Linked DNA regions of Mus musculus. The main gene of each other region encodes a partner of the protein of the gene in region 3 in a complex. Links are inferred from orthologs where the notes say so. Each region holds a gene or a part of one and is shown on either strand. Other genes may lie near its edges.

Evidence for each region.
Region 1: Med20 (region 3) and Med31 share a complex: the UniProt entries of both Homo sapiens proteins name them as parts of the mediator complex. The link is inferred for Mus musculus from reciprocal best matches to the Homo sapiens genes MED20 and MED31.
Region 2: Med20 (region 3) and Ccnc share a complex: the UniProt entries of both Homo sapiens proteins name them as parts of the mediator complex. The link is inferred for Mus musculus from reciprocal best matches to the Homo sapiens genes MED20 and CCNC.
Region 4: Med20 (region 3) and Med26 share a complex: the UniProt entries of both Homo sapiens proteins name them as parts of the mediator complex. The link is inferred for Mus musculus from reciprocal best matches to the Homo sapiens genes MED20 and MED26.
Region 5: Med20 (region 3) and Med18 share a complex: the UniProt entries of both Homo sapiens proteins name them as parts of the mediator complex. The link is inferred for Mus musculus from reciprocal best matches to the Homo sapiens genes MED20 and MED18.
Region 6: Med20 (region 3) and Med24 share a complex: the UniProt entries of both Homo sapiens proteins name them as parts of the mediator complex. The link is inferred for Mus musculus from reciprocal best matches to the Homo sapiens genes MED20 and MED24.
Region 7: Med20 (region 3) and Med4 share a complex: the UniProt entries of both Homo sapiens proteins name them as parts of the mediator complex. The link is inferred for Mus musculus from reciprocal best matches to the Homo sapiens genes MED20 and MED4.

What each region holds. Positions count from the first base shown.
Region 1 is NC_000077.6:72,212,329-72,216,886, reverse strand, and holds the start of Med31 (mediator of RNA polymerase II transcription subunit 31), read left to right. Parts: upstream 1-1,556; 5' UTR 1,557-1,898; coding exon 1,899-1,926; intron 1,927-2,671; coding exon 2,672-2,749; intron 2,750-3,013; coding exon 3,014-3,110; intron 3,111-4,558. Other genes in the region: 4930563E22Rik (uncharacterized protein C17orf100 homolog), read right to left, coding at 1,167-1,556. UniProt on the Homo sapiens protein: Component of the Mediator complex, a coactivator involved in the regulated transcription of nearly all RNA polymerase II-dependent genes.
Region 2 is NC_000070.6:21,744,699-21,748,129, forward strand, and holds part of Ccnc (cyclin-C), read left to right. Parts: intron 1-1,651; coding exon 1,652-1,731; intron 1,732-1,957; coding exon 1,958-2,076; intron 2,077-2,784; coding exon of another isoform or gene 2,785-2,836; exon of another isoform or gene 2,837-3,264; intron 3,265-3,431. UniProt on the Homo sapiens protein: Component of the Mediator complex, a coactivator involved in regulated gene transcription of nearly all RNA polymerase II-dependent genes.
Region 3 is NC_000083.6:47,610,131-47,614,522, forward strand, and holds the start of Med20 (mediator of RNA polymerase II transcription subunit 20), read left to right. Parts: upstream 1-1,454; 5' UTR 1,455-1,548; coding exon 1,549-1,562; intron 1,563-2,832; coding exon 2,833-2,987; intron 2,988-4,392. Other genes in the region: Bysl (bystin), read right to left, coding at 777-1,041; Gm20517 (predicted gene 20517), read left to right, coding at 1,549-1,562, 2,833-2,987. UniProt on the Homo sapiens protein: Component of the Mediator complex, a coactivator involved in the regulated transcription of nearly all RNA polymerase II-dependent genes.
Region 4 is NC_000074.6:72,545,464-72,549,933, reverse strand, and holds the start of Med26 (mediator of RNA polymerase II transcription subunit 26), read left to right. Parts: upstream 1-1,623; 5' UTR 1,624-1,967; coding exon 1,968-2,039; intron 2,040-3,719; exon of another isoform or gene 3,720-3,858; intron 3,859-4,470. UniProt on the Homo sapiens protein: Component of the Mediator complex, a coactivator involved in the regulated transcription of nearly all RNA polymerase II-dependent genes.
Region 5 is NC_000070.6:132,458,040-132,460,990, forward strand, and holds the end of Med18 (mediator of RNA polymerase II transcription subunit 18), read right to left. Parts: intron 2,075-2,951; coding exon 1,521-2,074; 3' UTR 690-1,520; downstream 1-689. UniProt on the Homo sapiens protein: Component of the Mediator complex, a coactivator involved in the regulated transcription of nearly all RNA polymerase II-dependent genes.
Region 6 is NC_000077.6:98,726,430-98,730,683, reverse strand, and holds the start of Med24 (mediator of RNA polymerase II transcription subunit 24), read left to right. Parts: upstream 1-1,264; 5' UTR 1,265-1,312; exon of another isoform or gene 1,313-1,380; intron 1,381-1,696; 5' UTR 1,697-1,769; coding exon 1,770-1,899; intron 1,900-1,986; coding exon 1,987-2,069; intron 2,070-3,667; exon of another isoform or gene 3,668-4,254. UniProt on the Homo sapiens protein: Component of the Mediator complex, a coactivator involved in the regulated transcription of nearly all RNA polymerase II-dependent genes.
Region 7 is NC_000080.6:73,515,928-73,519,184, forward strand, and holds the end of Med4 (mediator of RNA polymerase II transcription subunit 4), read left to right. Parts: intron 1-708; coding exon 709-795; intron 796-1,279; coding exon 1,280-1,411; intron 1,412-1,966; coding exon 1,967-2,139; 3' UTR 2,140-2,618; downstream 2,619-3,257. UniProt on the Homo sapiens protein: Component of the Mediator complex, a coactivator involved in the regulated transcription of nearly all RNA polymerase II-dependent genes.

The DNA.
Region 1 (4,558 bases), on a different chromosome or scaffold from region 3:
GGAGAGGTAGTTCTAAACTGTAAACTGCAATACGCACTTTGCTCCCTTGCACTAAATTCTTTTGATGATCTCAGAATAAAATTCAAGCTCTTTACTGTAATCCCAGAAGATTTCCAAGACTCTATATGAAGTGGCATCTTCCTCCTTTTTGTTTTCTTCCTTATACCACGCTCTCATATACTAACTGATCTTTCTCTTACATAAACATCTTTGATTTTTAAAAAAAATGTAGACTTTCCCTTCTGTCTAGAATGCACTTCCCTCTAGATCCTGATATGGCTCACTGTCCACTCACACAAATCTCGGACCAAATGTAATCAGCAAGGCTTTCCCTGACCATATTCTCTAAAGAGTTCCCTACTCTCTACCACAAGACAGACAGCCTTTCCTTCGCGGGAATACAACAGCATGTTGTCTTACTTTCCCCTTTGTTGCATGTCTCTTCATTAGAGGAAGATCCTAGTCTTTTCCACTGCTCTAGCTGCCATGCTCTAACTACTACCTAGCATGCAGTAATACTCAGTTACCATCCTGTCAATCTCACGCCTCAGGCCAAGTGTCATGGCTTCTTCTTTACTTTCCCTTCCAAGATTATTAATGGTTTTATTGATTGTTTATTAATTGTCCTGTTTTTTCCTATACCCCCTGATTTAATTTTTTAAGTGTGGGTGGAATACTATGTATGACAACATGAGAAAATGTATAATGAAATATAAGTATTAATAAAGGCCAATTAATAATGTATGAAAGATGATACCTTGCCCTGTAGGTTTCAAGCAGGTATATGATCAGGCCAGCGGTCAAGAATCATGACAAGTTTGGCCCCTCTTTGCAAATTTCAAGTCGTCAACACATCCTAGAGTGACCTAAGACTATAAAACTTACCTGGTGTAGAGACTCAAAGAATCTCATTGTCCATCAGCCAGGTTTATACTGCACTACCAGTCTGAAACCTTCTGTGCTGGCTTCAAGTTAATAGCACACTGGGGTCAACAACAGGATGGTCTAAGGTGCTGCAATGTCAATACATGTTAACAGCCCCCAGAAACCACAGCCTGTTTCTTACACTGATTTATGGGTTCTTTCCATGAAACCAAAGATGCTCGGTTCTCCTGGAAGATGGCTGGCTGGCAACTCTTCAGTCCTGGCTAAGGACCTTTGGCACTTCATCGAGCCATTCTGGCACTCTGCCTGGCTGGGCTCTCAACACGGTGCACAGTAGTCTCCACCCTCAGGGATGACGACGCCCTGACGTGGCGGGAGGACGTTTCCGTGCACTGCGAGGAGGTTTCCACGTGCTGGGAGGACACCTCAAGGAACTGAGGGAGTCGCTTCGTGGAGGGGGTGAGGGAGGGCCCCTCTCGGTGGCGCTGGGAGGTCTCCACCTGCCGGGAAGACGTTCGAACCTGCCGGGAGGACGTCTCCACGCGGTGGGATGACGTTTCCTCGCGGTGGGACGACGTCTCCACGCGGACAGTCGATGTCTCCTTGTGGCGGGTGCTTTCCACTCGCGGGGCGGAGGACTTGCTCCTAAGGGGCGAGGCCATCCTGCCCATACACCTTGGTCAGGTGGGACAAAGAGGCCCAAGGATCATGCTCTGCGTCACGTCACACAGGGAAAGGTGACGTCAGGGTGGTGTATTACGTCGGGGTAGGTAGCAGGACTCTGAGACCTAAAAAATGAGAAGTCCTCCGGCACGCCCCGCTCGATATCTGCGCGCGCAGCCGGCCGGGTCTGCACAGATAGGTGGGGCTAATTTTCCCATAAGTGAGGTTGTCCCCGCCCTCGTGTCCCACTCTGCCCCGCGACCGGAAGTAGGAGCCGTGGCTTCCGGATTCTCACCAATCGAAGTCGCGGTTCGGTCGGGGCTGGTGGTGTTCGCCTCACTCTGATTGTTATGGCCGCGGCCGTCGCTATGGAGACAGGTACGTTGTGACTTGCACCCCGAGTCTTCACCCCAAGGGAATGGTCCTACGCCCCGAAATTCCCTCCCTTTTCCCTTTTCCTGCGCTGTCTTTCGGGTTCAACTTGGCATCCTTAGAGTTGGGACCGGCGGAGGAGAAGGCTGTGCTGCTTCTCAGACTATGGTCTGTGAAAACATCTTTGCTCCTGGGTTGCTCAAACCCCTACTCCAACCCTGGCTCTTGGGGCCGTGCAGGGCCGTGGGAGAGGACTGAGACCTTCCACTGTCTGTGCTGAAGGTACTCCCAAGAACTTGCCCGAAATATCGATAACCTGTGTATTCTAATGCGGACACCGCCTTCTCTCCATTGTTTAATCACTTTGCATCATGCTTCGGTTTTGTGTAGCACATTGATTTTGCTTAACGTAATCACAGTTGATAGTTGTGGTTATAACAACTTAGGGAACCGCACAGCTATTACAGACTGTCCAGTGATCTCCGCTAACAAAGTGGCCTGCAGGTGGTAAATTCCCATTCAACTTATTTTTTCCTCAATTAACTTTAAAGGATTTCTTTACTATTTTTTGTTTTACTATTTTTGTTTTGGAAACAGGGCCTCATTACTTAGTGAATATATATATATATATATATATATATATATATATATACACACACACACACACACATATATACACACACGCATATACATATATCTTTAATTTCTAAGAAAGTCTCTTCTGCACTTTGATATTTGTCTTTTCTCCTAGATGATGCTGGAAATCGGCTTCGGTTTCAGTTGGAGTTGGAATTTGTGCAATGTTTAGCCAACCCAAACTACCTTAATTGTAAGTTAAGTACATCACTAACTTAAGCAACTAGCTCTTAATTTCTGAGAAGAGATGCAGTTTGTAATACTATTTATTACTTCGATGTGTTTGAATGGGATTTTATTTGTTCTGGTCTGTAAGTTAACTGGGCAAACAAAGGCTTGTGTTTTTAATTCCTTGTGTTCTGTTGGTAGGGATGTTAAGAGCTACTTTGTTTTAGAGATTACTAATCAGTAGTCCAGCGGTTGGTTGACATACGGATTGTTTCTTTGTGTCTTTCAGTTCTTGCCCAAAGAGGTTACTTCAAAGACAAAGCTTTTGTTAATTATCTTAAGTATTTGCTTTACTGGAAAGAACCAGAATATGCCAAATATCTAAAGTAAGTTTAATTTTTATAATCCTAAATCTGTGTATACTTTATCATAAATACAAAGTGCTGATACTGAGCAGTTTTCTCTGTGTGGGAATGGAAAATGATATTTTGAATCTTTCTGCTTTTAGTTAATGTAAGATACTGTCATCTGTAACTTAGATTATTTTAGGAATTGCATTTATTTCTGCTACCATTCTTACCTCACTCCCTTCAAACAGAACCAAACAACTGTCTTCATGGGAGCCAGCTTACTCTCTAAGTAATATAAGCCAGAACACACCACTTCTGTTCATGCAGGCTAGCTAAGATCCAGTCAACTGGTTTCAGACTATAGTTCTAATGTAATTTGGTGTCTAACCTTGTCACTTAGCACTGCCCTTGTCTTTCTGGATTTTTAATGCCTACCAAACTATAATCTAGGAAGGTAGGAAGTATTGTTTTCTGGGAGTTTTAGAGGTACTGCCCTTCTTTATAGTGAGTGTTCTTTGTTTCGAGCACTGTGCTAAATGTATTGTACACATTAACTCACTGTAAAAGAACAAACACGGACACTATCAAACTCAATAGCTTTGACTTAAAAAAAAAAAAAGAAGAAGAAGAAGCTGGCACACACCTTTAATCCCAACATTTGGGAGGCAGAGGTGGGCACATGAATTCAAGGCCAGCTTAGTCTACAGAGCTACTTCCAGGGCAGCAAGCTCTACACAGGTAAGCCCTGTCTAGATGTGCCTCTCAAAGGAGGAGACAACAGAAAAACCAGAAGTTTAGCCTGGCATCCCTTTAATCCCAGCTCTCAAGAAACAGAGTCAGGTAGATCTCTATGAGTTTGAGGCCAGCCTGGTTATGTAGCAAATTTCAGGCCAATCAGGTCCACACAGAGAGACTCTTTTTTGTTTTGTTTTGTTTTGTTTTGTTTTTCGAGACAGGGTTTCTCTGTGTAGCCCTGACTGTCCTGGAACTCACTTTGTAGACCAGGCTGGCCTTGAACTCAGAAATATGCTTACCTCTGCCTCCCAAGTGCTGGGACTAAAGGTGTGCGCCACCACTGCCCGGCAGAGACTCTAATTTTAAAAATGAGAGTAAAACATTTCAAAAATTTCTTTTTATCCTCGTTACCTTCCTGACTTGATTTGCTGCCTGTAGATTTGCTCTTCATGATGCAATTATAGATTCCTTTAGGAATCCAAATGATAGACTTGAAGTTATATTAGAAGATATAAAATGTTACATGCTAGCAAATTTTCAGACCGGAGATGGAAAGCCTGAGCCAACTTCAAGTTCAGTCTCTCCAGCCAAGCTGCTGAAAGGTGATTATCTCCACTCTGGTTGGAGGCTTCCTGGGAGCATAGTCCCTCTGTTAGAGGCAGCTTACTCCATTGATAGCCAGAGGCGAGGGAGCTCTTCCTTATATTGTGCTCAAATACACCTCCTTGTAGCTCTAACCTGTTTGTAGG
Region 2 (3,431 bases), on a different chromosome or scaffold from region 3:
AGGTTGATATAAATTAAACTTAACACTTCTGTGGCATTAGTGCCTTTTTTTAATGTTTTGTTTCTTTTTATTCATATGCATTGTTGTTTTGCCTGCCTGCATGTATGTATGAATGAGGGCATTGGATCCCCTGCAACTGGAATTACAGATAGTTGTGATCCACCATGTGGGTGCTGGGAATTGAATCCAGGTCCTCTGGAAGAGCAGCCAGTGGTGCTCTTAACCTCTGAGCCATCTTTCTAGCCCCTCATTGGTGACTCTTGTAAATTGCTGAACTTGGTAGGACTCTAAAGTATTATGTATGTTCAGTGAGAAAAGATGCTGGGTTTGTATGGATAGGAAGAAATAGCAGGATGTATGGCATGTTTTTGCCACCGTGTGGTATGTGTTCCTCTCAGGTAGTCTTACTGAGATCAGTGGCTTTTATATATAGTCTTTTATGTGTTGAAACATTAATGTAAGTGTGTGTGGGGGGAGGGTGTGGGTGTGTTGTGTGAGAGTATGTGCATGTGAAGGCGGGGTACACATGGTAGAGGCTAGAGGTCAACCCTTGTCATTCTGCAGGAGCCATCTACCTTTTTGAAACAGGGTATCTCACTGAGAACTACAGCTCATTTATTAGACAAGGCTGACTGACCAGTGACCCACAGGTTACGTGTGTGCTATCATGCCCAAGAGTTTTCTTTTATGTGTGTGAATGTTTTGCTTGCATGTGTGTCCATGCATTATGTGTGGCCATTATGAAGTGCCTGCAGAGGCCACAAGAGTGCATTGGATCCCCATTACTGCAGTAACAGTTGGTTCATTCATCATATGGGTGCTGAGAATTGAACTGAATACTGGAAGAACAACCAGTGCTCTCAGCCTATTAAGCCATCTCTCCAGCCTTCTTCCTTCCCAGCTTTGTTTTAGTTAGTTTGTGGTTTTTAATGTGGGTGGGAATTGAACCCAGATCACACAAGACAGTCTTTGAAGCTTGACTAACCAAATGTGACGGTAGTGCGAAGGTTAATAAACACCTACGTAAAAATTCACTTTTTAAAAATTTAGATTATATCCTCTAAGGATGGGTTCTATTAACTGGGATCTACAGCTAGGGATTCAAGGAGGGAGGATCTGGGGTGGACACTGGAGGATCTGCGTGAGGTCCGCCTCCACAGAGAGCAAACACGGCTCTAGGTCCTTAACAATAGCCACTCCCAGCTTTCTGGATGGAATGCAGGAATTTTATTTCCTCCTTAGGGAGACATCCTGTATGGTTGACATTCCTGGTTACCCTAGTGACCTGTGAGTTCAAAGACTTCTGTACCCTTAACGAACATTTTTAAGACTTAGCAGTGCATTGGTTGGGTTGGACTTGGTTTTCTGTCACTGACTTCTGGGTGGGATTTGACTACTTTACACGTGTATGCATAGGTGATTTTTCCTGTCCTAATTTCTCGGTTGGAGTTGTTTCTCTTGTAACAAATTTGCCCTCAAGGCATCCTGTAGCTAGAGATTTCTTTTTTTTATAATACAGTGTGTGTGTCAATATTGTTGCTACATTTTTTAAAAATAGTATTAGAAAATAAGACAATCTTTATGAAAATCTTTAGTTCTAAGTCTATGTTTACAGTTAAATTTGAACAGTTGTCTGTAATTTTCTTTCTAGCTTGCCTACATGTAGCCTGTGTCGTACAACAGAAAGATGCTAGACAGTGGTTTGCAGAACTTTCTGTGGATATGGAGAAGGTACTCTTCTTTTTTGAAGACGTGGTCTCACTGTATAGCTCTTTCTTGCCTGGACCTTGCTATGTAGATCATGCTGGGCTCTGATGCATAGAAATCCACCTGCCTCCTTCTCCCAGGTGCTGGCATTGAGGCATGGGTCCTCATTGCCCTGCATGATATCTGTTCTTTACATACTGATACGTTGCTAGTTTTTGCTACTGAGAGCTTTTCAAATATTTTCTTCTAGATTTTGGAAATAATCAGGGTTATTTTAAAACTGTATGAGCAGTGGAAGAATTTTGATGAGAGAAAAGAGATGGCAACTATTCTTAGTAAGATGCCGAAACCAAAACCACCTCCAAACAGGTACATTTTAGACTTACTGATTTAATTTAATTTAATTTAATGTTTTATTTCCCTTTATGCAATTTCTGTCTTGATAAATTGAGAATGTCTCAGTTTTTAGATAAATTCTTCTGTCTAGTAACTTTTTTTAATGCAATGGAGGTCTATTACAGGTATCCCTCAACATATAGCCACATTCTGTACTTAAATTGAACTGAATTAAACAAACATTTGAAATACAGAGATAAAAAGCGTAAAGTAATTCTTTCCATTTGCCTCTTTGTCATTCCTCTCCCTTCAGTAATGATTATTCTCTTATTTCATACGTTTCAGTAAGCATTTTGAAAATTTTTGATGACATGATATGCTAAAGATAATAAATTTTGGCTTCTGAGTGATCCTATGATCCATAGCACACAGTTATGATAATTTTACCTAAGAGGAACCTCCTGTGCTAAGATGTTTTTGTTGTTTTAAGTGGATCTGTTCACTTAGGTGAGTGGCTCTCTGCCCTCTCTATGTATCAGATCATTCAAAGCGAGGACGGAGAGAAGGGAAGTAATGCTGTAAGCATAGCTGGTCCTTAGAGAGGATATACAACACTAGGCTGCAGTTTTAGACACTGCTGGTTACAGTGGTGTCGAGTTGAGAAGAGAGTGATGCTAACTGTTAGTAGGAGCTGCTTAAGGCAGTCATTGAAACAGCTACCTTTGGATGCATGTCTTACAGAAGCTCCCTGAGTGACTCTCCACTAATGGCAGGGCCTGAAGCTGCAAGATGATGCTGGACAAGATAAGGCAATCTCCTATTGTCACAGTTACTGGTACTTTCAGCTTTAGTTATTTTTATTTTAATATTCAGCATTTTTCAAATAAATTACCATATTTTTGATGTATAAAGGTTTGTTATCATTACCATATGATTTTATTATGCCATTGGACAACAGGTTTTTTTTTTCCTTTTTCCTTTTTTTTTTTTGAAAGACACTTTGGATTTTCCTAAAGAGTAGAAATGGAATTTTATATGTCAGATTTAATTTTGTAGGAAATTTGTTCAGAAGAAATTGTAATCTCTATGTTGAGTGATACCTGTAATAATAGTGAAATCGTACTCTAACTTAAATCGTTGAATGTATATGGACACTAACTTCCAGACTGCTTGTTATGTATGAGGGCCTCAAGCTACAGAAGAATAAAAACATAAAACCAACTTTTAGTTTTCTGGATTTTAATTTTTCTACATTTGTGTTTTATAATCAGGAATGTCTGTTTTATAAAATTGCTCCACAGAATAAAGAACTTCAGAAATTAATAGTACTATCAGAGTATTTTAAAAATGAATCTTTTAATTGGCATAAAATTTCTTTCTTCCCCATT
Region 3 (4,392 bases):
GGCAGTACCCACCCCTCTTCCCCCTTTTAGCCCGTAAACAATACTGTTTCCCCTCCCCTGTCGCTGGGACAGGGACAGTCCCCACTTGCTTTTCAGGTCTTATTCGAAGGACATGAAATCTGGGATACCCACCATGTAGAATTAATGTTCATCTGCTTTTTTGTTTAAATAGAAATATCATCACTTTTTTCCTCTCTCTTGAGAGACAGGGCTCGTTAATCTGAAATTTACTATATAGCCAAGAAGGTCTTCTGCCTTGCTTCTCGAGTGCTGGGATTACAGGTGAGCCTCGCCACTCCTGCTTGGAATATGTAACTCTATTTAATGGGTGCCTTGAGCTAGACTTCCGGTGTTATCAGGAGGAACGAATATCTTATTTCTGTATCAAAACTGCCTAAAAACTTAACACAGCTCAAAACATTATGCAGGCAGTCCACAAATACTTCAAACGCCCAGAGGATAAATAAATAAATGCTAGACCACCAGGTGGTGGTGGTACCCGCCTTTACTTGGGAGGCAGAGGCAGGCAGCTTTATGAGTTCGAGGCCAGCCTGGTCTACAAAGTGAGTTCCAGGACAGCCAGGGCTATACAGAGAAACCCTGTCTCGAAAAAAACCTAAAATAAAATAATGCTAGAACTGGTGTGAGAGATCACTTTTCGTTGGCTTAACTCTGAATTCTGGAATTCAGGAGTGGAAGTGGAGGAACACGCCGGTAAAGTATTCTGATGGGGTGTCAGACCGGCCCAACTCACGACTCCACCCCTTGTCACTCACCCAGCCGCGTGGCGCGCTCTCGCGGTGGTGCTGACCGATCACCAGCCCCATGGTCAGTTTCGAGCTCCTCCTGCTGTTGTCTGGCTTGCTGCAAAATCCGTCTGCTTAGCCGGGGTCCCACATACTCTTCCTCCTCTTCGACCTCACGCCCCCGCCGTTTTTCTCGGGTCCCCGCGCGCACTGCGTTCCCAGCCAGGATCTGCTCGGCCAGAGGTGCATGCTTCTCCCGATTGCTGGCCCCACGTGTCACCTTGAATTTGGGCATTTTGGCCGAAAAAATTGCCCACCAGGTTCACACGTGTGAAGCCGGCTAAAAAGCCGATACTGCGCTTGCGCTGTGTGTTCCGATCGCCAAGAGGCCACTGAGAGATCACAGTGCCCCCCAGCGTTAGGAGGCCGGAAGTTCCTCATCTATTACTCTCAGGAAGAGCTTCGGGACCTATAGCAGGAGCCCCCAAATTCTCAGGTAATCTCATTAGAAAGGTGGATGTCCAAGTCACCCTTTTCCAGAATTCATGAAAGTAGCCTAGGGCGTCCTGTCAACCCGTTGGACGCCTTGGGGGCGGAGCCGAGTCGATGACGTTCTAGAAATGTCACCACTGGGTACCAGAGATGGCGCTCCCTGTGGGCGTGTCGCCGCGGCGCTCAGTATTTGCGCATTTCCGGCGGTCGATCAACGACTGCTTCCTGTGTTTAGGGGGCCGCCGTTCGCGTGAAGGTCTGGAGTCTCTGAGTTCGAGGGTTTGGAGGCGCCACCTTTTGATCCTTCGCTATGGGAGTGACGTGGTAGGACTTGAAGGGCTTCTGTGGTGACGGAGCATATAGGGTCGTGAAGGTGTCTGTGGGCCTGTGATGGCCCGGGGAAAGGGATTTTGACCGAGGTTCTCGGTTCCTCGGGGGGCTGACCAAGATGTCTTCCGGTTGTGTGGATGGGGGACACTGCGTGGGACTTCTCTCTTCCCAGACACACCCCTTTGGCAAAGGGAGCAGCGCATCCCTAGGACCCGCCAGGAGTTGTACCTTTTTCTTGGTACCTCTTCCTGTCCTTGAGGCCTTGTAGTGTCGCTACTAGCACCCAAAGGTTAGAAATAGGGTTTCTAGATTAGGAGTTGTTCGCAGAAAGGGATAAGAGTGGCGCGAGGAGAAAGTGACTTTTCTATTTTGCTTGCAGTTACAGACTTTGAATTGGCCATTTTAAGGTGTTGGGGCTAGTGACAGAGGTAGGAGGAAAGGAGCGGTTGGGAGTTTGGAGTTCGGAGTACCAGGCAGAGACAATTTTTCGAGCTGGGTGTCTCACTGTGTAGGCTTGGGAGGCCCGGAACTCACTCTGTAGAACAGGCTGGACTCGAATTCACAGAGATCCACCTGCCTCTCTCTGCCTCTCAAGCGCACGGATGAAACGGACGCGAGCCACCATCGCCTGGGCTTCAGACAGTTTTGATTGACTTTTATCTTAAACATGTTTGAAGTCTCACTTGATAAAAAGGCAGTTGGTAAGGTTTGGGCACCGTGCTTTTCTGGGTATTAATTTTAAAGTACTCGGCCTCAGCACTTAAAAGTCTTGGTAGTGGTGTGCTTCTTTCCAGTTAAAGAAGCTTGGAGGCCAGGGGCCACAGGTCTGCCCTGTGAAAGGAAGGCTCTTGCCACAGTTGACACTAGGAGCCTCATCTCATACTTCTACCCTACTGTAAAGAATGCCTGTGAGCAATGAAGACAGATCACAGCAGAGTCATTTAGAGTTCAGTTTCCCTGTTTGCAGTAAGTTGATACAGGACAGGGCCTTTCCTGGGGCCTTTGGAAGAGTCAGGCAATCCATCTGAGGGCTGATGCCTTTGATTCCAACATTTGGGAGGCAGAGTCAGGCAAGTTTCTGTGAATTCCAGGCCAGCCTGGTCTACCAAGTGAGTTCCAGGAACTCTTGGGGACTGATGGGTGGGGATCAGAGATGTCTAAGTAACTCCTAGCCCTGCTGATCCGTTACCTGTTGGGGAATTGAGTGGCTTAGCCAGAAGCTCTGTGTCTCTGGACCCTGCTGACTTGGCGTTGTGTTTCTCAGTGTGTCCCAGATGCCTGTGGCTGAGGGCAAGAGTCTCCAGCAGACAGTGGAGCTCCTCACCAAGAAACTGGAGATGCTTGGAGCAGAGAAACAAGGGACATTTTGTGTGGACTGTGAGACTTACCACACAGCTGCCTCTACCCTGGGCAGCCAAGGTCAGTAGATGGCTGAGAGCAGATGGGAGGAGCATGGCTTAGAGTATTTACGTTAATGGATCTGCTTGCTTTTCTGTCAAGGGTAGCGGTCCTGACTGAGGCAGGATGTGTTTGTGGCCTCATTCGTTCTTGGTCCATCTTATATTATGGTGGTCAGTTTGCAGTTTGATCTATTTGTTTAAAGATTTGTTTTTATTTTCAAATGTGTGTGTGTACAAGCACTTGTGCCCCTGTGTGTGGCTATATGCACACAAGTGTGGGTGCTTATGGAGGCTAGAGGTATCAGATCCTCTGGAGCTAGAGTCACAGGTAGTTATGAGCTTTCTGCTGATATGGGTACTGGGAACTAAACTTGGGTTCAAGGCCAGCCTAGGCTAGAGACTGAGAACCTTTCTTAGGAAACAAGAATTGTACACAATAACGGGAAGCACTTACTTCATTAAAGAATAGTGTTGGGGCTGAAGCAGCTCAGCAGTTGAGAACACTGGCTGGTTTTCTAGAAGCCAGGGTTTCATTCCCAGAGCCCATATGGCAGCTCACAGTTTTTGACTCTAGTCCTAGGGAATCCAGTGCCCAGTGCCCATAGTCTCTGGATACACTGTAGCTATACAGATGGTTGTGAGTCTTCATGTGGTTGTTGGGAATTGAATTTAGGACCTCTGCTCCGGTCGGCCGTGCTTGCTCAGGTCCAAAGATTTATTTATTAAGTACACTGTTACTGTCTTCAGACACACCAGAAGAGGGCATCAAATCTCATTATGCGTGATTGTGAGCCACCTTGTGGTTGCTGGGATTTGAACTCAGTACCTTCAGAAGAGCAGTCAGTGCTCTTGCTCGCTGAGCCATCTTGGCAGCTCACTCACATAGTCTTTGGCTGCCTTTGCAAAGTTTCAAGGCAGTACAACTTGATGTGGTATGATCCAGGTATGTAATTACAGTGTATAACCTGAGACAGAATAAGGTCAGCTTTGAGTGGCTCTGAGAGCTGGCATATTTTAAACTGGATTTTCAAAGCGATGAAAGATGTGAATTGGCAGTGTAGACAGAAGGGATGGGAGTTGGAGGTTCAGTGTAGAGCCTGCCTAATTCAGCAGGGGGCAGCAGAGAGGCCAGGGCAGTACAGGGAAGGCCCTGAATTGCTCCCCAATCCTGCAGTCTTTCTCCTCTTCCCATCACTACACTTTTTTTTTAAAAAAGGATTTATTTATATTTTATTTTGTTTGTTTTTAGACAGGGTCTCACTATGTAGCTCTAGCTGTCCTGGAACTCACTCTGTAGATGGGAGTGGCCTCAGATTCACAGAGATCCATCTCCTAGTGCTGGAACTAAATGCACATCATTACACCTGACTTTATTTTATTTCTGGGGCTGGGTGCTGTGGAGGGAAGTCAGAAAGGAGCTGGAG
Region 4 (4,470 bases), on a different chromosome or scaffold from region 3:
GCCTGTATAAGGGGAGAAAAATAAAAATCAACTATTAGATAATAATAAAAGACAGAAGATTGGCATAAATGTAATGCACCAGGAGACACTGGAAGGAATAAAATGTTTGAGACCAGCTCAGGCTTCATAAACTCTGCCAAAAAACACCAAACTAAGAGCCAATGTTGATGGAGGACCTTGTTTATTTTGCTTATCTGGTGAGATTAAGTGTATCTTCAAAATGGGCTGCTTTCCAACTTGGAACCTGAGCTCCAAACACATGCCAGGAAGAGAGTGTATTTGAGAAGTATTTGTTCGTGTTCATTCTATTGGTGTAATGCAAAGCCTTCTGTCATGTGCAGAATCAAGAAACCAGCCATGATAAATTTATTTTCTGGGTGGGTGGGAGAAAAGGGCAGGGTCTTACTTACGTAGTCCTTGCTAATCTGGAACTCACTGTGCAGACCAAGCTGGCCTGGAACTCCAGTGAGCCTCCTGCCTCCCAAGCGTTGGAATTAAATGCCTGGTTCCTCACCTCCCCCAGTACCCCCCCCCCGAAGTATGACAAATTTAAAATTAACAGGTGTTGAGCAGCTCTCAGAAGTACATGTGGTTTTCATTACCTGTTTCCCTTCCGTTTCATGTCTGGATTTTTAAGGTTACAACACTACACGAAGTTATTTCTCCCGAGGCCACTTTCGTATAGTGCACTAAACTCGGAGCCCGCCCTCCATCTGTCCAGTTGTAGGGGTCACCGAAGGACGGAGGACCGCAGCCTTTATACTTGACTTCCTTCGTTTCTTGGTTTGACTTAAAACTCCAGGTGACCTTGGTGCTTCCCTTCCTCCCCCGTGAGGCGTTCCTGTTTTCCATCACCTGAGATGCAAAGGCGGGGTCGCTCCGTCCCCTCGGAACGCCAAGGGGAAGATGCTGGGCGACGGTTCCGCATCCTGCTGTTCAGACACAGGCTGGCCACCTCCAGCCCCCCCCGCCCCCCCCCCGCCTCTAGGAAGGCGACAAAAGCGGTGCTTCCTCTTGAGTTCCAGCCCCGCACGGATGCAGACCCGAGGTGTCAGCGTCGCGCAGGCCTTGCAGACTTGCGTCCTCTGCAGAGGTGGCAGCTCCCAGACGTGACCTTAGGTCCCCGCAGCACGCGGGTCACATGGGGACACGCACTGCCCTGCAGACCCGCGCCTGGGGCCTCTGCAGCGGAGAAGGCTGTGCGGAGCTCCTCCGAGCTCCTCGAGGCACGAGTCTAAACGCAGGGAACCGCTGCCTTCCTCAGATTACCTATGGCCGCTCCAATCCTCTGGTTTCTAAACGCAGGAGGCCCTCATCCGGGGGAGGGTCTTTCCATTCCGCAACCCCAAAGCAGTCAGAAGATAGAGTCGGTGTTCCAGGACTTGAAGGGTGCGCTTCCGTTAGGAAGCCCATCCCTCCAGTCCCGAGTGGGCGTGGCCTTCAGATAGCGTCCGTTGCCACGCCCAACTGCCTCCCAACGGCCCTCTGTGTCGGACCTCGGAACCAGGCGGCAGGACCTGCTAATTGCGCCTGCGCGCGCGTGCGCACAATCAATAGGAGGGGCTCACGAGCCGGACCCTCCCAAACCCGGCGTCTCCACCCGCCCCATCTCCCAACCTCCTCAGCGTGGCGCCGACGCTGCGTGCGGCGCGGGTTACCCAGAGTGCTCAGCGCGGGGGGCAGCTCACTGGAGTTTGGTTCTCGAGGCGGCGGCGGCGGTGGTGGCGGAGGCTCCTCCGTCGGCTCCTCCTCCTCGCTCGGCGGTGGCGGCGGTGGTCCGGGGCCTGAGCTCCGGTCCCCTCCGCTTCCCTCCGTCCTCGCCATCTCCCCGAGCGCCTTGACCTCCTCCGGCGCCGCGGGGAACATGCGGCTCCGTTCCCGGAGGCCGGCGAGTGACTGACCCGCGTTCCCCCTCCTCAGCCTGCCCGCCCGCCGGCCCGGCCGCTCCCCCCCGCTTCGCCCAGGCAATGACAGCGGCTCCGGCGTCTCCGCAGCAGATGAGGGACCGGCTGCTACAGGCCATCGACTCCCAGAGCAACGTAAGTGACTGCCTCGCGATCGGGGACCGAGGCCGCATGTGTCGAGACCCTCCCCCTCCGACGCGCCCCCGGCTAGGGGCTCTCTCCAGGCGGTGATCTGCCCGCCACAGCCACTGCCATCTCGGTCTCTCTTTCTCCTGGGTCCGGGGACCGCAGGCAAGGCGGATTGCCCGGCAGCTGAGGGTACCTGAGGCCGAGGCTTCACGCGGCCTGGACTGAGGGAGCGTTTGGAGCTTTGATCAGAGCTAGTTCTTCTCCGTTGTCCCAGCCCGACCGCCCTTGGTGGTCCCCACCGTGCCTCCTTGCCTCACCTCAACCCTGGGAACTGAGAACCCCCCGGGAAGGTCTCCCTGCCGGGGGCAAGGTGGGAAGCAACTAGTGTCTCCGCGATGACTAGAGTAGCCCGCGTCTCCGGAGTCTTGGCCTTTACTCCCCTTCGGTCTCCTGGCTGAACCTCCTTCTTGGCTAGGAGGGAACCCTAGGCCCGTTCTGCCCCCAGTCTGTCTACCTGTGATGCCTGGAGAGTCTCCTCTTTTTTCTGATAGTGGACAAACCTTTCCTGGGGTCTTTCTAGAAAAGACGACCCTGCAGAGAGTGGGATCCTTCCTGTCATCTTTCTTGGCCTAAATGCTCCATTGCGCATCTGACCAGAAGCTAAAGCATGGGATTTTGGTACTGAGTTACTGCCCGTCATAGTTGATTGTTCTCTTATTCCTACCTTCCGGTCCTCTTTCCATCTCTCTCTTGCCCCTCCTGAGGTGCTTTGGGCCCTAGCCTGTCAAGATTTAATTGTAAGGGGTTACTTTATGTCACACTTTCCTCTGCTAAGAGTCCTGTGAGCAGAGGGACATCTTTTTCTTCCTGTGTGAGCATAGACTAATTTCACCTGTTCTTGTATTTTTCCCAAAGGTTTGTTGGCAGTGTAGGGGGCGGGTATCCTTGTTGCTGTTAGGAGCAGGGCCATGGGAAGATGCACAGGCATTCAGATATGAGGTGTTTGCTGGGAGACCAGGAAGTGGCCTTTGAGATCACTTTTTAATATGCTCGGGATGGAAGAAAAATCATCTTGGGCTTGGACAGGTAACCGAGGTTTGAGTCTTTTGAGTTCCCTTGACTATGCTTGACCAGTTACTCTTAGCAATGTACAATGTACACTGTATTGTGGTGTGTTCAGAATAATTCACATTGTTTGTGTGGTCTTGGTAGAAATAGAGGTGCTCTAGTTTCTATGAGATCTGCTTGCTGGATCCAAAATTATTTTCTTCTTGGTCTTTAAGATCACCTTGATAGTAATTTAGTAAATACTGTAGACATTTTCTCGAGGTAGAATAGGGACAGGCTAGATAAAAATCTTCTAGAAAGCCTTTTTAAATTTTTTTCTTTTTTCTTTTTTTGGTTTAAGGTTTTGTTGGGTTTTTTGTTGTTGTTTTGTTTGCCAGTGATTGGTATTACTGACTGTAATCACATGATTGATATATTAGGATATTAAAAGGTAAAAACAAGAGATAGGAAAACATAGCCTTGATGGCTTTTGCATCTTTGCTGAAGCCATAGTGTACACAGTATAATTTTTTGATGTTGTTTTTCAAGAAGGATTCCTCTTCTATGTAGCTTTGACTATCCTTGAACTTGCTCTTTAGACTAGGTTGGCCTCAGAGATTCTCCTGCCTCTTCTTCCAGATTAAACGATTGCACCACCACTGCTCATCTCTTCCACAGTGGAAATTTTAACTCCTGTGTAACTCCTTTGCTTGAGATCTTATCAGAGATCCTGACTGCTTGTATGTGAGAGTGTTGGGACCAGCAAGCGCTTTGACAGGTAATCATGATGCTATAGATCAGGTGGGTCCAAGTGTTAGGTAAGGTCTGACTAGAAGACCCTTTGTGGGTAAAAGAAGGAAGGTAGACAGCCCAAATTTTAGGTTTTTGTTTTGTTTTTTTCTGAGACAGTCACTGGAAGTCACTATGTATGTAAACCAGTGTAGTCTCACAGAGAATCTGTCTGCTTCTACCTCCCAAATGCTGGAATTAAAGGTATATGCCACCATGCCTGGCCCAAACATTAGTTTCTTGAATTTTCCCTTGGTCATAAGTATTACTATGCTCTTTGGCCTGTGGGTAAGTTGCTTGGAGTGTATATCTCAAAGGGAGACCTTATTGTGGTGGATGGAGTTGAGAACTTGTCTCTGAGTGAGGAGGGAAGTGTTTCCCAAAATGCACTGTCAGTGACCACCCACAAAAACAACTAGGTATATGTGCCAGGGGCTGGCTTTGCAGAATCTCTTTGTAGAATCAGCCTGGAGCACTGTCCTCCATTTCTTGCTGTGGTATTGAAGGGTCCCTGGACATTTGCACTGTTTCCGTGATTGCTCAGGGCCCAGGTAAGAGCTGCATGTTTGTGCAGGGATCTGTGCTTTGCTCTGCCCAGTTA
Region 5 (2,951 bases), on a different chromosome or scaffold from region 3:
GTAAGACTCCTATAAAAAAGAAAGTGGACTGAAAGTTTTCCTGGCAGAAAAAGAAAAAAAAAGAAAAAGAAAAAGAGAAGGAGAAGGAGAAAAAGTATCTGACTTTTCAAATCTAAGACTATGAGCCTTTTGTCTTTCTTCTCTGTGTAGCCTTGGCTGTCTTGGAACTTGCACTGTAGACCACAGGTCTGCCTGCCTCTGCCTCCTGAGTGCCAGGACTAATGTTAATGGCATGCACCACCAGCACATGGCCCTTTTCTTGCCTGAACATGTCTGTGTACTGAGTGTGTGCCTGGTGCCTGTGTACTTCAAAAGAGAGCATCCAATCACCTAGAACTGGACTCCTACGGAAGGTTGTCAGCACTCAAGGATGTGTTGGAATTAAGCCTGGTCCTCTCTGCAGGAGCAGCCAGTGCTCTTTAGCAGCTAAGCCACCTCTCCATCACCAGCTACTTGAATGTTTTTGATTACATTTGTGTGTGGGTGTGCACACATGTGGGTGCAGGACTCAACCAATCCTGTGGAGAAACAGGACGGCAACAGGCAGGAGTCGGTTCTTTCTTTCTCCCATGTGGGTCCTGGAGAGGCCCCCACAGCATACACAATAACAACAATAGTAAGACAGAACTATAGCAATATAGAAGTAGACTAGGAAGGAGTTAAGACGAGTAAGAATCAGAATCACAACTGAGTCTTTTCAGTCTTTATTACCACACAATGCTGGCTCACACCACCATTGTAAACCTTGTATATCAATGGCAAAACAACACAATTTAAAACATATGAAGAAAACAACAAATAAATAAAGGAATAAAAAATGTTTCTCTAAAAAAAACAAAAAAAAAACAAAAAAAAAAAAACAAACAGCCGGGCTTGCGTGTTATCGCACGCCTTTAATTCCAGTACTCGGGAGGCAGAGGCAGGTGGATTTCTGAGTTTGAGGCCAGCCTGGTCTACAAAGTGAGTTCCAGGGCAGCCAAAGCAACACAGAGAAACCCTGTCTTGTATTGAAAAACAAAACAAACAAACAAACAAACAAACAAACAAAAAACAAAAAAAAAAAACAAAAAAGAAAAGAAAAGAAGAGAAAAAAGAAAAAAAAAGCAAAATATTATGAGTTGTTTTTTGACCTTTCCTCTGAAAAGCTAATTTATTCCAGTTCCCTCTTTTTGAGTGGAGGGAGGACTTGAACAAATCTCCATATTATCCTGGGTCTTTCATTGGAAAAGCCTATCAAGAAGATGAACAGTCAGGTTTAATAAGGACCTTGCAGGCACTTAGGCGGGAAGTACAGGGTCCTGAGTTCCAGGGTAGCTAGTTTATGTAGTGAATTCCATGGTAAAACCCTGTTGCAAGAAAAAAGAGACATTACCAAGTGAAGGAAACAGTTGAAAGGAACCAGGTCTCGCCATCATCTTCTGGAAGGAAGTGGGCCCGGCTGGCAGCAGTACCTGGGCTACTTTCGAAGTCTCTCACCTCCCAGGTGGGGACAGGCCTAAAAGGCCGACAAACTTTCTTCATCACATCAGCCTTTTGGGGTCTATTTTTTCCAGGTGAACCAGAGGTTTGAGCTGCTCTGCAAAGTTCCTCATGTCATCAGAGACCATGTCCTGCCCAGCCGGGGCGACAACACTTAATTCCACAAGATAGGAGAGGGACAGGGCCTCGGTGCTGTCCGTGTTCCCTGGGACCAGGATTCGGAAAATCTTGTACACCACAACCTTCATGATGCCCTTCCGAAACAGGTGTCCTTTGGCGACAAACTCATGGTCCATGCGGAAGCCCATCTCCATCAGGAAGTCCGTGAGGTTCTCAGACGTGGCGATGTCCACACAGTTGCGCACCAGGGCGTGGCGGTTCTTGTCTCCCATTTCGGGCTGTCCCAGGTATCGCAGATGCCAGGGTGCCCCTGCCCTGTCCATGGAGCGCCGGGCCCTTAGGACGAACGGGCTGGCCTGCTGGCCCTTAAGCAGGAAGACCATCTCGTGATCAAGGAAGGTCTCAGGCTCCATGTTGTCACACAAACCTCGGAGGCGATGGATGAGGCTTTCCAAACTGTGGTCCAAAACACTTCCTGAAGAGGCACAAGCACAGTGAGTCCCGGCTTTCATTTCATTTAGGGTCATGAAACCAGCGAAAGATACACACACCAAATAAATAGTTCTATGCAACGTTTTCTAAGAACAATCCATGGGATTCTATTTATTTGTCTATTCAAAACGTTTTATATTTAGTCATTCTTGTCTCGGCAAACTCGAGAATACAATGGCACATAAATGTTGGTTGGAGGATAACCCGCTAGAACGGATTCCCTGTGGGTCCCAGATTGAACCCAGGTTGTCTGACTTAGCAGCAAATGCCGGGTAGTGGTTTGCATGACAGTAGCCCCCACAGCTCCTGGATTTGAATGTCTAGTCTCTACTTCCTATTGTTTAGGGAAGGACTAGGAGGAACGTCCTTGTTGGAGGAGGTGTGTCAGTGGGAGTTTTCAAAAGCGGGCCCCCATCTTTCTGTCAGTGGCTCAGGCTGTAGCTCTCAGCTACTGCTCCAGCACCTGCCTGCCTTAATGGGATGAAAGGGGTGTTATCACCATGCCCGGCTTCTTGTTCTGAAGTATAATTATATGAAAAAGAAAATCTGAATTTGTTCTACAAATGGAAAAATTGCATTGGCTATAAATAAATCATTGTGGCTGGGTGTAGATCTGTGAGAGACCATGTGCTCCAGATGCAAGGCCTTGCTGGGGTTTGATCAAGGCACCAAGAGGACCAAGGCTGAGGGATGGAGCTTAACGGCTGAGGACTGACACAGAAGGCTCGGGGTTCAATTCCTAGCACTATAAAATAATAAAATTAAACAACAACAAAGATTAAATAAGATTAAACAGTTATTTAACTGAGCCAGGCATGCAGGCACTCAGGAGTCTGAGGCAATAGAGTCGCTGCAAGACT
Region 6 (4,254 bases), on a different chromosome or scaffold from region 3:
TATTTATCCTGATTCTCAGTCAAAAGGTAGCTCAGGGAGGGGGCTGTAGTTCAGTGTAGAGTGCTTTCATAGCTGTACAAAGAGGAATGTGGGACAGAAGAGGAATGGGTTGGGGAATATAGACAGAATTTGAAGAAACAGGCTGACCTATCTCCTTGGGATATGAGATTGGGAGCCAAGAAAAAGAGGGGTGATAAAGCTCTGCCTCCAAATGTGCAGAATGGTCTTAGCCACAATACCACATTTGATCCCGAGGCCTTCTTTTTTTTTTTTTTTTTTAGATTTATTTATTATTATATGTAAGGACACTGTAGCTGTCTTCAGACACTCCAGAAGAGGGAGTCAGATCTCATTACGGATGGTTGTGAGCCACCATGTGGTTGCTGGGATTTGAACTTCGGACCTTCGGAAGAGCAGTCGGGTGCTCTTACCCACTGAGCCATCTCACCAGCCCCCGAGGCCTTCTTAAACAGTTTTTGAGACACCCAATAATCTTAACCCATATTTCCTCTGTTTTGTTTGTTTGTTTGTTTTGTTTCTTTGTTTTTGTTTTTGTGTTTTGTGTTTTTTAGACAGAGTTTCTCTGTGTAGTCCTCCTGGCTGTCCTGGAACTCACTCTGTAGACCAGGCTTAAACTCAGAGACCCAGCTGCCTCTGCCTTCTGAGTGCTGGCACTAAGGGCGTGGTGCCATGCTCAGCTTCTGTTTTCTCCTTATTTCCTTTTGTATCCAAACAGTATTCAGGATCAGTGAATTCTGGGAGAATTGTCAGATTTGGGGTTAAAATGATGGTATGTGTGCTGCTACCCACACTTCAGTGTCTCTTTTGGAATAGAAATATGAAAATGAGAGCTCTAGTGCCTACAGGGGCTTTCGAGAACAAAGGCCAAAACCCAAATAGAAGCCAGGTTAGAAGCCAAAACAGAAGCCAGGCTAGAATTCACTGTTATGCCTCGTTTCTGGGAAATAGCCACAGTATCAGAATGATTGAAGGTAGGGATAGATGGCAACATCACTGGGAGACAGAGAGTTGGTTTCTCCATAGACCCTGAGACTCTGGGTACCAGCGTACCTCAGCTCTTCGGATTATCTCAGATAAAAACCACCAGAACCAATTAGATTAATCCTTCTGCCTGTTTGGCAGCTTAGACAAGTCTTAGACAAAGAACTACAATTCCCAGAAGGTATTGTGGCAGGACTCGCCTCTTGCTACGTTTCTATTGGTTGGTGTGTGTTGCCGCCGGCCAATGGTAAATGATTTCCTTAGTAGGTGTCAAGATGGCGCTGCCTACGATGTACAACCGGTTTGTATGGTAGGCTTAAATTTGGGGAGATGGTAGATGTAGGAAAAGAAGGAATTACAACTTCAGGGCCGAGGAAGGTAGAGGCAATGGGGAGAGGGTAGATCTGGGTTTGGGGTGGAAGTGGTGAGGAACGCAGCTAGAGCGAAGGGCATAATTAGACAACCGGAGCGGGCTTAACCCTTTCCTGCTCGCTTCAGGGCTTTGTTGACACTTTCTGTCCCAATTCGAGAAACGGTTGTTCAGAAACCGAGAAGGTGACAGAGCCGCTAACTTGACGCCTTCTACTCTGCCTAGTTTTTTTCCTCTCTGTTTATTTTTCTGTTTGTTTGTTTGTTTTGCTTAAACCTTCTCGAATTTCCGTTCTATTTATGTCTCCCTTGTTCTTTCCCTCAGAACTCCAGTTCTCATCTGGCTCCGTTTTTAAACTCCCACCTTGTCACTCATCTCGCCTCCTTGGAGTGACATCATGAAGGTGGTGAACCTGAAGCAGGCCATTTTGCAAGCCTGGAAAGAGCGATGGAGTGACTACCAATGGGCAATCAACATGAAAAAATTCTTCCCCAAAGGAGCCACCTGGGACATTCTCAACCTAGCAGGTCTCAAGTAAAATGGGCAAAGAAGGATGGGAGGGGTGTCCTCAGAAAAGCTGTAAACACTCAGCCTTACTTTAATTTTCCTTGCAGAAGCGCTCCTGGAGCAGGCTATGATTGGGCCTTCCCCCAATCCTCTGATCCTGTCGTACCTGAAGTACGCCATTAGTTCCCAGGTAAAGATTCCCGACTCTTGGCTTTTGGAGGTGAAACACCTGGAGAACTGACAGTTGTCCATTTAGGCTTAATTTATTGCAAAAATAACACTCCATTTGTTGTAATGAATGAATATTACATTTATTTACTCTCTCCATATACATTTACAAGTAAAACTTAAAAAAAAAACTACATGTACTTATGGGCGGGGAGGGCATGCACATCGCAGAATGCTTGTGGAGGTAAGATACTTTTGTAGCCAGGCGTGGTGGCACACGCCTTTAATCCCAGCACTGGGGAGGCAGGTGCAGGCGGATTTCTGAGTTCGAGGCCAACCTGGTCTACAACGTGAGTTCCAGGACAGCCAGGACTATACAGAGAAATCCTGTCTGGAAAAACCAAAAAAAAAACAAAAACGATACTTTTGTAGAGTTTGTAGAGTTCTTCCCACCTTTCTGGGGATTTGAACTCATATTAGCACGCCAAACACCTTCACCTGCTGAGCCTCTTTGCCAGATCCTTGTTTCTGTTTTTGAGACAGTGTTTTATGTAGCCCAGAATGGACTTGAATTCCTGATTTTTCTGCTACCGCCTCCCACAATTGATTTGGGGGTGGGTGGGTGTTGATAATCAAACCTAGGACCTGCAGATGCTAGGCAAGTGTTCTACCTTTGAGCTATTATAATCCCTCTCTGGGTGTTTGCAAATGTTAATGTTTGTCACACAATGGTAAGTCCTGGGGATTTGATCCCAGTACACAAGGGAAGTTGAAGGCAATGCAGACTATCGCTAATCGTTGAGCGATGGGGTTTATGGTATGATTAGGGCAGAGTATAGAAATGAAGAGAGGATATGGAAGTGATGCCTAGTCCTGCCTGAGCAATCACAGAAGGCTTTCTAAAGGAAGTGATGTTTAAACCAAGGTCTCTATGGTGAGTAGAAGTTAGCCACACAGATGAATGAGAATGAAGAGCAGAGAGAGGAAATTATAATTCTACACAGGCTGGGCTGGACAAATTATAAGTTATCCACTACTGAAAGTGAGGGCTGCAGATACAGTTCATTGGTAAAGTGTTTGCTTAGCAGGGACAAGGCCCTGGATTTGATCCCCGGCACCACAAAAAACCTGAAGGATATTTGGCATTGGTGCAACAGAGCTGAACACTACCCAGCACTTCTGTTTATTATATCACATATGTGATATCATAGGCATCGAGACAGAAATTTAAGGTACACTTACCCAGAGATAGGGATGGAGCTCTGTTAGTAGTGTGCTTGCCTAGCATGGACAAGGTACTGTTTTTGTTTGTTTGTTTGTTTGTTTGTTTGTTTATGATGTTGCAATGCTATAGAGAAACCCTGTCTCCAAGCTGTCTCTGTGTAGCTCTGGATGTCCTGAAACTCACTATGTAGATCAGGTTGGCCTCAAACTGACAGATCCATCTGCCTCTGCTTCTAAGAGCTGGGATTAAAGGTGTGCGCCACCACCCCTGGGTTTATTCTTTGTTACTCTACTAAACTGTAACAGGTAACATGAGCTGCATCACAGATGACTTTATGCTGTTACATTCAAATCCCTTGGTCTCTCTTGGGCTACTCCCCCCCCCCCCCACACACACACAGGGCAACTTTATTGAGTGGTAGCATGGTCACACCCAGCAAACGTGTTCGCTCTCATTCACTCTCTCTCTCTCACACACACAGACCTTGTCACAGTCCAGTTCTCAGCCACAGGGTGGGGAACCTCCTGGATTACTCGGCTCCAGAAGTAACAGGTGCCCGAGGGAGGCTCAGGGGGAGGAAGTGGGGAGGGGGTGCAGAGAGCAGGGGTGGGATGGGTTGGGAACACCCACCAGACAGCTACACGAAGAGTGAGATTCCCCGCCCTGGTGGCTTCAGCTTGGCTGCACCCCCTTCGAAGGAGCCTTCCAAGGTGTGGCTGAACATTCAGGGTTTGGGAAGGGCAGAGTCCCACTCCGTTTTAGTCCTCTCTGCAGGCTGGGGACTGGAGGGCAAGGTTGTCGGCTGCTTCAGCTCTGGGGCTTCTTCGGAGCCTCACCACCCTCTTCCCCAGCACTGTTGGCTGTCCACAGCGTCAGGTTGTCTCTCAGGAGCTGCATGATCAGGGTGCTGTCCTTGTAGGAGTCCTCACTGAGGGTGTGTAGGTCAGCCAAGGCTTTGTCAAAGGTGGTCTTGGCCAGCGAG
Region 7 (3,257 bases), on a different chromosome or scaffold from region 3:
GGTCTAGTTGGTCTTTATACCAAGAGTGAAATTACAGCTGTTTCACTTTAATACTTTGTGCATTTGGTTTACATTTAGCCATTTCTCCATCTCTGATTTGTTCTCTGCTTGCCAGTATGGAGTCTATTTTCTGATTGTTACATTCAGGAAAACAGCTCATATTCTCTGAGAGACGGGTGGGCTTCTGTAGCAGAAGCAAGTCTCTAGGAGAGGAGGCTGAGTCCATTGCTCAGGGGTGGTTAGAACTCCTTAGTGCTTTTTGAAACAGGTCTAAAATTTATAGAATGGAAAGCTATGACTGTCTGGCGCACAATCTGCTAGAGCCTCTTCCTTGGGAGTCACACAGAGGCTGCAGACTGTAGGGTCAGCAGCTTGGATGCTGCTGGAATGAAAAGCGCTCCCCTTGGTTTACTGTCCCTCACTGTGGCATTCAGAAGACTCTGCACTTGATGGCGGCTAGTAATCGAGATGACTGAGCATTATCACGCTGGCCTTAAATTTACGTTAGCCGACTTTGCTGGGTGGGTATCTTGGTTCCAAGGTTCAGAAATGTATTTATAACAGTTTTTGTGTATGTGCAGGTGTTTGGGAGATGGACAGCTTAGATGATCCTATTTCCTGATAGTTTGAAATTAAATATGGTGTGTGTATGTATGCTCTTCTAAACTTGTGTTTAATGATCTGAACTGTTCTATTTTCTCAACTCAGGTGCTATCTCCTCTGAAGAAATCATTAAATATGCGCACAGGATTAGTGCAAGCAATGCTGTCTGTGCTCCACTGACTTGGGTTCCAGGTAACAGAGCTTCTTACATCAGATGAATGCAGGTTTGAAAGGACTGAGGTATCTAAATAAGATCATTTAACGTAGAATGTACTCATCTAGAGTAACATCTGCTAACAAAGGCATTTTCTTCAGTGTTGGAAGGAATGTCAGGTGTTACCCTCTTCTACCCTTCTACCCTTACTGTGTAGCCCTGGCTGTCCGGGGACTCATTTTGTAGACCAGGCTGGCCTGGGAAGAGAAGTCAGAGTTCTGCCTCACTCTGCCTTAAAGGTACGTGCCACCGTGCCCAGCTTAAGGATTTCCACTGTAGCTTCAGGCAGTGTGTGGCAGTATATACTGCAAAGGCAGGTACTGAAGAGGCCGAGGCAGGACTGCAGGCTTGAGGCTCACAAAGCACTTGCGTCTTTTAGTGTGAACTAAGGGCAGCTCATTCTTCAAGAACATATAAATGCTTTTTGAAAGCCTGAGTTAAAAGCTGTCTTTACTGTTTTAGGAGACCCTCGGAGGCCATACCCAACCGATTTAGAGATGAGAAGTGGATTGTTGGGTCAGATGAACAATCCTTCCACCAGTGGTGTGAATGGTCACCTCCCGGGAGATGCCCTTGCAGCAGGTAGACTGCCAGGTAATGCCAACTGGATGGGTGTTTTTAAGCAGACAGAGGTGCCCGTGAGGCACTGTCTGGTAGTGGACATCAAGATCTGTTACACAGGTTCCCTGCCAGTTTGTCATCCAAAGACCCTGCAGTGATGCACAGGACACTGACCTAAGCCCCTATGTCCCTCATGTGCATCTATTTCCTGGCACCCTCCCCAGGCCTGGCCTTCCCCTGTCGTGACCACTCTGAAGAGCATTTTTGCAGTTGAGAGGCATGCCCCCAAATAGAATAAGCACATTTTGTAGGTGCTGTGTTTTAATGTGGAAGAACCTTCCTAAGGAGAGGACATAGTGGGGACTGTGCTTTCTGAAGCCCATTGTAGCCATGGGCCACACTGTGTTAAAGTGTGGATTTGGGAATCTGCTTATTTGTGTTTAGCATTGCGAATCCCTAACCTTGTTAGATCCTTGGTACTACAAGGTAGGTGGGTGGGTAGATAGAATTAAGGTACTTGCATAGAGGGAGGGGATTTGAGTAGGCTGATCACAAGTAGGACTAATCCCATGTGCCTCTTTTCTCCAGATGTCCTTGCTCCGCAGTACCCATGGCAGTCAAATGACATGTCTGTGAACATGCTGCCACCAAATCACAGCAGTGACTTTCTGTTGGAGCCTCCTGGGCACAACAAAGAAAATGAAGATGATGTTGAGGTTATGTCAACAGACTCTTCGAGCAGCAGTAGCGACTCTGACTGAGAAAGGTGTGGCATGCACAGACTCCAGTGCGGCAGAGTTCTGTCAAGGGGGAAAGAAAAGCACAGACCTAAGGAGCCCATGAAAATCAGCGGGTTTTCTTCCTAGAGCCCGAGCCCCTGGTTTTCTATCTGTTACACAATGTTTGAGGATTAGTCAGAATTACTGTAGTGTTTGGTTGTACATAGCAGCCCTGGCATGAGACTGAAGAGGAACTCACACAACTCATGGAGCATACTTAGAAAGAGCACTGAGCCAGACGTGGTGGCTCACACCTATAGTCCCAGCACCTGGGAGGCTGAGGGATTGCTGTGAGTGTCGGGCCGCCTTGAGCTACAGAATGAGCTGAGCCACCAGGGTAACAGAGATAAGAACAGGCATCGGAGCGCTGTGTGATACTTCAGAAGTGCTCACTTGAACAACTCAATATATATATGTGGTAAATACTGTAATTTGTGTAAATAAACTTGGTTTTGTTTGTATTTAATTTTTTTCAATTTTTTAAAAAATATTTTTAAAATTTAGGTACACCTTCAGTGTAGGAAGGAAACATTTAAATCCAGTTGAATTTGAGCTGGGCAGTGGTGGCACATGCCTTTAATCCAGCACTCAGGAGGCAGAGGTAGGTAGGCAGATCTGAGTTTGGGGCCAACTTTGTCTACAAAGCAAGTTCTAGGAGTACAGAGAAACCCTGTCTGGGGAAAAAAAATCCAGATGTATTTTATAATAAAATAAGATTCTGGTATATATGATACAGTATATACAATAAAATGACTATCTTAACTCATAGTCACAATTAAGTCTCTGAGATCATTAAGTTGAAACTGAAAACATTTATTACAACCCCATACTACACAGACACATACACACAGGATAAGGAAAGTTAGAATAGATGGCCATCTCATGCCATCACCTTGTCTCCTTGTGACTTTTCTCATCTTTTACAGGACTGGGTCTCCCTGCTTGTATAAGGTACCTAGGTTAGTCTGGGACTTGCAGCCACCTGCCTTGGCCTCTTACTGTAGTTTCTCAAAAAACAGTCACTTTTAACTCTTTAGCTACCTCGTAGTTAACATCTGTGTCCACGATGTTTATATAAGTATCAGTTTTAGATAGTTATA